Linked DNA regions of Macaca fascicularis. The protein of the gene in region 1 interacts with the protein of each later gene in a pairwise test. Links are inferred from orthologs where the notes say so. Each region holds a gene or a part of one and is shown on either strand. Other genes may lie near its edges. The genes, in order: DRG1 and ZC3H15.

Region 1 (3,823 bases):
CATCCCGGATGTCTTTAGTAATGAGTTTGCATCTTAGCTAGAATTTTCCAGGTACATGGATATTGGTACACTTGGCAAGTATTTTTTTTTTTTAAATTTTGTGCTGACCAGTCATCTGCTATTCCCTTTCAGTGCCCCCAGAGTGAGCTAGATGCTGAAACTGTGAAGAGCATTCTGGCCGAATACAAGATTCATAATGCTGATGTGACTCTACGTAGTGATGCTACAGCTGATGACCTCATTGATGTGGTGGAAGGAAACAGGTACTGACTGAGTGTGCAGTCTGTGCCTGACTGGATTGGAAGCCTTGTGATGGAAACAGTATTGGATCTTGAATTTGGCAGAAGTTTATCTTAATTCCAGTTGTCCTACTATTTTTTTTTTTTTTTTTGAGATGGAGTCTCACTCTGTTGCCCAGGCTGGAATGCAGCAGCATGATCTCAGCTCACTGCAACCTTCACCTCCCAGATTCAAGAGATTCTCCTGCCTTAGCCTCCCGAGTAGCTGGGATTACAGGTGTGTACCACCATGCCCAGCTAATTTTTGTATTTTTAGTAGAGGTGGGGTTTCATCATGTTGGCCAGGCTGGTCTTGAACTCCTGACCTCAAGTGATCCGCCTGCCTCGGCCTCCCAAAATGTTGGGATTATAGGCGTGAGCCACTGTGTTCAGCCTGTGCTACTATCTTAAATGATAGTGGGCTTTGGTTTCTTTCTTTCTTTTTTTTTTTTTGAGGTGGAGTTTTGCTCTTGTTACCCAGGCTGGAGTGCAATGGCTCAATCTCAGCTCACTGCAACCTCTGCTTCCCGGATTCAAGCGATTCTCCTCCCTCAGCCTTTCTGAGTAGCTGGGATTACAGGCATGTGCCACCATGCCTGGCTAATTTTGTGTTTTTAGTAGAGATGGGGTTTCTCTATGTTGGTCAGGCTGGTATTGAACTCCCAACCTCAGGTGATCCACCCCACCTTGGTCTCCCAAAGTGCTGGAATTACAGGTGTGAGCCACTGTGCCCGGCCTTTTTTTTGTTTGTTTTTTTGAGATGGAGTCTCACTCTGTCACCCAGGCTGGAGTGCAATGGTGTGATCTCAGCTCATTGTAACCTCCACCTCCCAGGTTCAAGCGATTCTCCTGCCTCAGCCTCCCGAGTAGCGGGGATTACAGGTGTGCACCACCATGCACAGCTAATTTTGTATTTGTAGTAGAGATGGGGTTTCATTATGTTGGCCAGACTGGTCTTGAACTCCTCACCTCAAGTGATCCGCCTGCCTTGGCCTACCAAAATGTTAGGATTACAGACATGAGCCACTGCGTCCAGCCTGTGCTACTATCTTAAATGATAGTGGACTTTGTTTTTTTTTTTTTTTTTTTGTGAGACAAGTGTCTCACTCTGTTACCCAGGTTGGAGTATAGTGGCATGATCTTGGCTCACTGCAACCTCCACCTCCTGGGTTCAAGCGATTCTTTTGCCTCAGCCTCCTGAGTAGCTCGGATTACAGGTGCCTGCCACCACGTCTGGCTAATCTTTTGTATTTTCAGTAGAGATGGGGTTTCACCATGTTGGCCAGGCTGTTCTTGAACTCCTGACCTCAGGTGATCTACCTGCCTCAGTTTCCCAAAGTGCTGGGATTACAAGTATGAGCCGCTGTGCCTGGCCCCCGCCCCCTGGTTTTGTGTTTTTTTTTTTTTGGAGTCTTGCTCGGTCGCCCAGGCTGGAGTGCAGTGGCATGATCTTGGCTCACTGCAACCTCTGCCGCCAGGGTTCAAGCACTTCCACTGCCTCATCCTCCCGAGTAGCTGGGACTACAGGCGTCCGCCACCACACCTGGCTAATTTTTGTATTTTTAGTAGAGATGGGGTTTCTCCATGTTAGCCAGGCTGGTCTCTAACCTCAGGCAGTCTGCCTGCCTCTGCCTCCCAAAGTGCTGGAATTACAGGCATGAGCCACCATGCCTGCTGGCTTTGGTTTCTTTAGCTCTAAACTGAGGGATTCGTTTTGATTTCTGACATCCTTCCTTGCTTTTAAATTTAATTGTGATGGTCATATTCCCCATTTCAGTTTTTTTCTTTTACAGCCTCCTCCTATGAAATTCTCCATTTCAGTTACTTGCTGTAAACTAAGCTGCCCCCTAATCTTTGTCATGTGATAGTTGAAGAGAGTAGTAGGTGAGTCTGCTCTTCCAGAATTAATCCACCTGAGAAGTTCTATAGGCTGTGTCCTACAGAAGTCTGAGCCGGCCAGGCTGTGTTTGTTTTCTCCATCCTAAGAGTATGTAGCTGAGTATCTATTTCATGATACATTACTTTTTTTTTTTTTTTTGAGACAGGGTCACGCTCTTGTCGCCCAGGCTGTAGTGCAGTGGTGTGATCACGGCTCACCACAGCCTTGAACTCCGGGCTCAATCCATCCTCCCACCTCAAACTCCTGAGTAGCTGGGACTATGGCCGTGTACCACCAAGCCAAGCTAATTTTTGTATTTTTTATAGAGATGTTGTTTCCTCACCTTGCCAAGACTGGTCTTGAACTCCTGGGCTCAAGCAATCTGCCTGCCTTGGCCTCCCAACGTGTTGGGATTATAGGCATAAGACACTATGCCCAGCCCATTAATATTATTGAGACTTGAATAAGTTAAGTCACTGTTAAAATTCCTTGTAGCATTTGCATATAATATTTTTAGTTCTCCTAGTCATTTGTTCCTGTATGTTGGATGAACGTATTTACTCCTCGTTTGAAAACAAACAGAAGCCAGTGTTTTCAGTTAGGCATTTTACAAGTGAGGCAGTTAAACTGTGAGAAGTTGTGGCTTGCCTAATTATTAGTAACCTTAGCTGTCATATTCATTGGACACTAGAAATATGACATTGGTAGATGTGATATCATTTTTACCAATAAATATTATTTATTGTACCAATAAATAAAACATTTTTTAGTCTTTAAATATAAATTATGTTTTAAAACAGCCATGTAGGAAACTGACTCAGAGGTTAAGTGACTTTCCTAGGGACACATAACATCACCTCTTCATATCCACAGAGGATTGCTTCCAGGACCCCTTGCAGATAATGAAACCTGCAGATGCTCAAGGCCCTTATATAAAATGATATAGTACAGCTGATCCTCCGTGCCTGTGGGTTTTGATCTGCAGTTGGTTGAATTCAAGGATGCAAAACCTGCATATATGGAGGGCCAGCTGGGATTAGAATCAGTCTGAGCACTTCAAAGCTTGTGTTCTTTCCACTGCAGTATGTTTTCCCAGCAATTATCTTTATGTCTGGTACTAGGGCCTGACTTTTGTTACTTTTCAACCCATAGTTCACTTTTTCTTTTTTCTTTTTCTGGCTGATCTGCTACTTATGATTCCTCTTGAGAGCGCCAGTTGGGTCTGGGTGAGGGTGTGCTGTTCAACAGTCTGACAGTTTGGTCAACAACTCCAGACTAATACCTGTTTTTCTTCAACTTCTGTAGAGTTTATATCCCCTGTATCTATGTGTTAAATAAGATTGACCAAATCTCCATTGAGGAATTGGATATCATCTATAAGGTGCCTCACTGTGTACCCATCTCTGCCCATCACCGCTGGAATTTTGATGACCTATTGGAAAAGATCTGGGACTATCTGAAACTAGTGAGAATGTAAGTCTTTGTGGATAGGGTAATGTTGCTGTACGAATTAAACCAGACCGTCCTAAGATGACTTTCTGGAGCTCATTAACAAAATCTGGCTCTTTTTGAAAATATAAGTAAATTGGTTCCTATTATCTACTAGGTCATATTGAGGACACTTTTTCCCTCAGGTTGGAGGTTGTCCTGGTCTTATGTCAGGGGT
Region 2 (3,754 bases), on another chromosome or scaffold:
AATTTAAAACTACAGTGTAGGGAGCATGAGACAATAGCACAGTCATTTGGTTGTTGACAGATTTAGTAATAACAGATAAGTTACTATTCATTTTTTGTGTACCTACAAAATTCTGGCCTCTGGGTTGAAAGAAAAAAATCGTACTCTATATATAAAAATGTGATGGCAGAGGAAGAAGGTTCATATACCACCTTGCTATTCTTTTTAAAAGAAACTTAGGAAAAATAATTTTGACAATAGATCTTTTGTTTTTGTTTTTTATAGAGACGAGGTCTGGCTTTGTTGCCCAGGCTGGTCTCAAACTCCTAAGCCCAGGTGATCCTCCAGCTTGACCTCCCAAAGTGTTGGGATTACGGTTGTGAGCATCCACACCTGGCCAGTAATTGGTCTTTTTTTTTCACTTGGATCAGTGATAATTTTGGCTAATTAAGATAAATGTCAGGAGTAAAAGAAAACTGTTCTTATTTGTAACAACTTTCTTTTCTATATGTTGTTAAAGGTTGATGATTCAGTGAGTGTAAATGACATAGATTTAAGCCTGTACATCCCAAGAGATGTAGATGAAACAGGTATTACTGTAGCCAGTCTTGAAAGATTCAGCACATATACTTCAGATAAAGATGGTAAGTATGCTAACTTTTGCCTAATTTTAAGAACTAGGAAATTATCTATAGGGGGTTATACCAGACTTGGCAAACTTAGATGTGTGCAGGTACCAGACTGGTAACATAAATGTGTGGTTTGACCATATATAAAAAGAGTAATAAATAGTAAAAGGCCAGACATGAGCAGCTGGGTATATATTAAAATCATTAATGGAAACTAGAAGGAGACATAAATGAGCTTGGAGTTAAAGTCAGTAAGTTCACTTTGAGACCTCATGAGTTTGAGATTTTTTGATTATCAAAAGTGTACTGTCTGGGATATTGTATAGACATGAACACCCTGCAAAACATCAGTGTTTTGGGGTAGGTAAAAGAAGAAATACTAAGGAAAGACATTGAGAAGGTCAGAGAAAAATTAAGAAACAAGTTTCCAAAGAAGCAAGTAGGATGAAAAAGAATATAAATAAGTTATAGTTGTAATTGGTTATAGGAATAAGGTGCCAGTTTCATTGAGACTGCAGTGATAACAGTGAGAAGAAAAATGAATGCAGTCCTCTCTATCTTAATGTGTAGAGGGAAGACATGGTCATGGAAGGGCTTTTTAGGATATGGAAAACCTAAATGTATCTGTAGGTCAGAGGGAGAGGATCTGGTAAGGAGGAAAAGTTGCTAATAAAAGATCAGTTATAGAAGTAAGACATGAAAGTATAAATAATGAGTTAGGTATGAGAATGGAGGGAAGGCTATCTAGGATTGTTGGTATAATTTATGTCTAATTGTGCCTTGAGTTAGGTACTTAAAGAAAGGGGTAAAAGTTTGGGAGAAAATGGCAGAAGAAATGCCCATTAAGGCAAAAGCCGAGACAGACAGAAAAGTCTGAACTTTATTTTTACAATAAAAGCACACAAACTATAACTTGAAAAACCAGCTTGCCCTCCCAAGATCTGAGAGTGTTAGCAAACCACTGTCTTGCCTGTATTCAGATTGACTTGCTCTTTGTAGAAGTAGGGGCTTTGGTGACAGTAGACACAACTGTAAATAATTCAGAGATTATAAAATTCCCAAGACTTTGTCTTCAGAGATGTTTGAAATAGCTAAAATCTAAATTAGGCTGTTAAAAAATGTCTGTGTAAATGTTGATGGCATTGAATAAGAAAAGGCAGCATTTTTTTCCTCTCAGTTATTTATAATCTATAAGGAAAAGTAGCTGTGTATAGCACTATGTTTTTTCTTAACAATTTGATTACATGATGAAGATTTTCTGGTGTCACAATCACAGCATTACAACAGCGTGATTTAAATACTATTGCAAAACCAAAAGCCAAGTAACTGCTTATATTACAAACACTTTTTTTGTTTCTATAACCATTTATTCAAATAAAATATTGTATGGAAATTAACTATTTAAAATCGAATTGCTAGGTTATGTCGGGAACACAGAGGTGTAGAAGATTGACCCTGTCTTTAAATGTATAAACCATTAAGTAGTCAAATGTCTACAGTGAAAAACAGTATTTTATACTAGGTATAGATAATTGGCACAAATAAGCTCAGAAAAGAATGATCAGTTCTTGCTGGAGTAATTCTAGGGAAATGGCTTTCATGGAGAAAAGGAAAAGAGGAAGTGTAGTATGAGTCTGTGTTGTCTATTGCTAATGTAGAATGTTGTTTTCTGCTTCTATGCCTTACTGATTCCAGTTTTTATTTTTAGAAAACAAATTAAGTGAAGCTTCTGGAGGTAGGGCTGAAAATGGTGAAAGAAGTGACTTGGAAGAGGACAACGAAAGGGAGGGACCGGAAAATGGAGCCATTGATGCTGTTCCTGTTGATGAAAATCTTTTCACTGGAGAGGATTTGGATGAACTAGAAGAAGAATTAAATACACTTGATTTAGAAGAATGACATCAAACACGTCACTGAAAAAATTAAGTCAGCTCAGCATGAGTTGAAATTGACTACATTAATTTCTTTCCACCTAGAATCAACAGGATGTTTATTTCCTATGCTGATTCTGAAGGAGTTAACCTCCTGCGAAAAAGGAATATTGTCCCTACATCTTCTCTTCTGACTTTGGCTACATCTCATAGTAAGTTCAGAGTAGTTCATGATAAATTGAAAATATAATGGTCATTGCAGAAAATGATTGATTGTTGTAACTGTCCACCCAAGTAAGAAGTGTATCTGCTTTTCCATCTTTGGTTTTCATTTGGGCATGTGCTATTACCAGAAACAACAAACTTACATTTAAAATACCCTTCATTTGACACAGTTTTTAATGAGTGATTTCATTTCCTTTGTATTTGTATGTTTAGAAGACTGCCTAAAACATCAACACTGTACTTCATAAAGGAAACTGCATATGCAGATTCAGTATTGTATATCTTTGGACAATTAGATGGACATTTAAAATGGAACTTCTTATATCTGACAGGATCAGCTACAATGCCCTGTGTTAAATTGTTTAAAAGTTTTCCCTTTTCTTTTTTGCCAATAAAATTGTAAATAAAGACCATCATACATTAAAATCCAAATATGGGCCTTTTCTTAAGTTTTTCTATGAAAAATTTAACATTTCTAGCTTGAGGATTTAAAATACCTGTTAATAGTATCACATAAGGCATTGTTTCTTAATATTTACTACAGAAGCATCTAGAGTACTTGACAGTACTACGATGAGTTTAATAACACAAATACTAAGCTTCCAAAAAGACTATAGGTGATGTTACATGAAAGAGTAACTTCGGAATTGATACAACATCAACCTAATTAAATATCACCTGCAGTTGAATCAAGTACTGCTTAAGAATCGTTGTTGAGATCCATGGTGTTAAAATAGTACATACTAATGTAAGTATAAACAAATTCACCAGAAAACTTTGGGCTGAGGGTCTTTGGCACTAAGATCCCCTGAAAAATTAGGGTGATAATACATTTAAAATAGACACAATTTGCTCATGACATATTTAATACTGGCTACACCTTTTTTATTGTTGTGTATTTTCAAATAATATGCTGCTTTTGTTATTTGCGAATATAAATGGATTTTAAGACAACTAAGATAACAGCACTAAAATGTCAGGTGAGCTGGGCCCTAATCTCATTTCTGCCTTAGATAAATTATATGATTTTTAAATCTCTGAATCTTTGTT

What was found.
Region 2: the proteins of DRG1 (region 1) and ZC3H15 interact in binary tests that used the Homo sapiens proteins (3 or more experiments, as listed by UniProt). The two-hybrid records come from large-scale screens. The link is inferred for Macaca fascicularis from reciprocal best matches to the Homo sapiens genes DRG1 and ZC3H15.

What each region holds. Positions count from the first base shown.
Region 1 is NC_088384.1:20,205,148-20,208,970, reverse strand, and holds part of DRG1 (developmentally-regulated GTP-binding protein 1), read left to right. Parts: intron 1-132; coding exon 133-263; intron 264-3,462; coding exon 3,463-3,630; intron 3,631-3,823. UniProt on the Homo sapiens protein: Catalyzes the conversion of GTP to GDP through hydrolysis of the gamma-phosphate bond in GTP. Appears to have an intrinsic GTPase activity that is stimulated by ZC3H15/DFRP1 binding likely by increasing the affinity for the potassium ions.
Region 2 is NC_088386.1:82,082,810-82,086,563, forward strand, and holds the end of ZC3H15 (zinc finger CCCH domain-containing protein 15), read left to right. Parts: intron 1-499; coding exon 500-623; intron 624-2,316; coding exon 2,317-2,507; 3' UTR 2,508-3,136; downstream 3,137-3,754. UniProt on the Homo sapiens protein: Protects DRG1 from proteolytic degradation. Stimulates DRG1 GTPase activity likely by increasing the affinity for the potassium ions.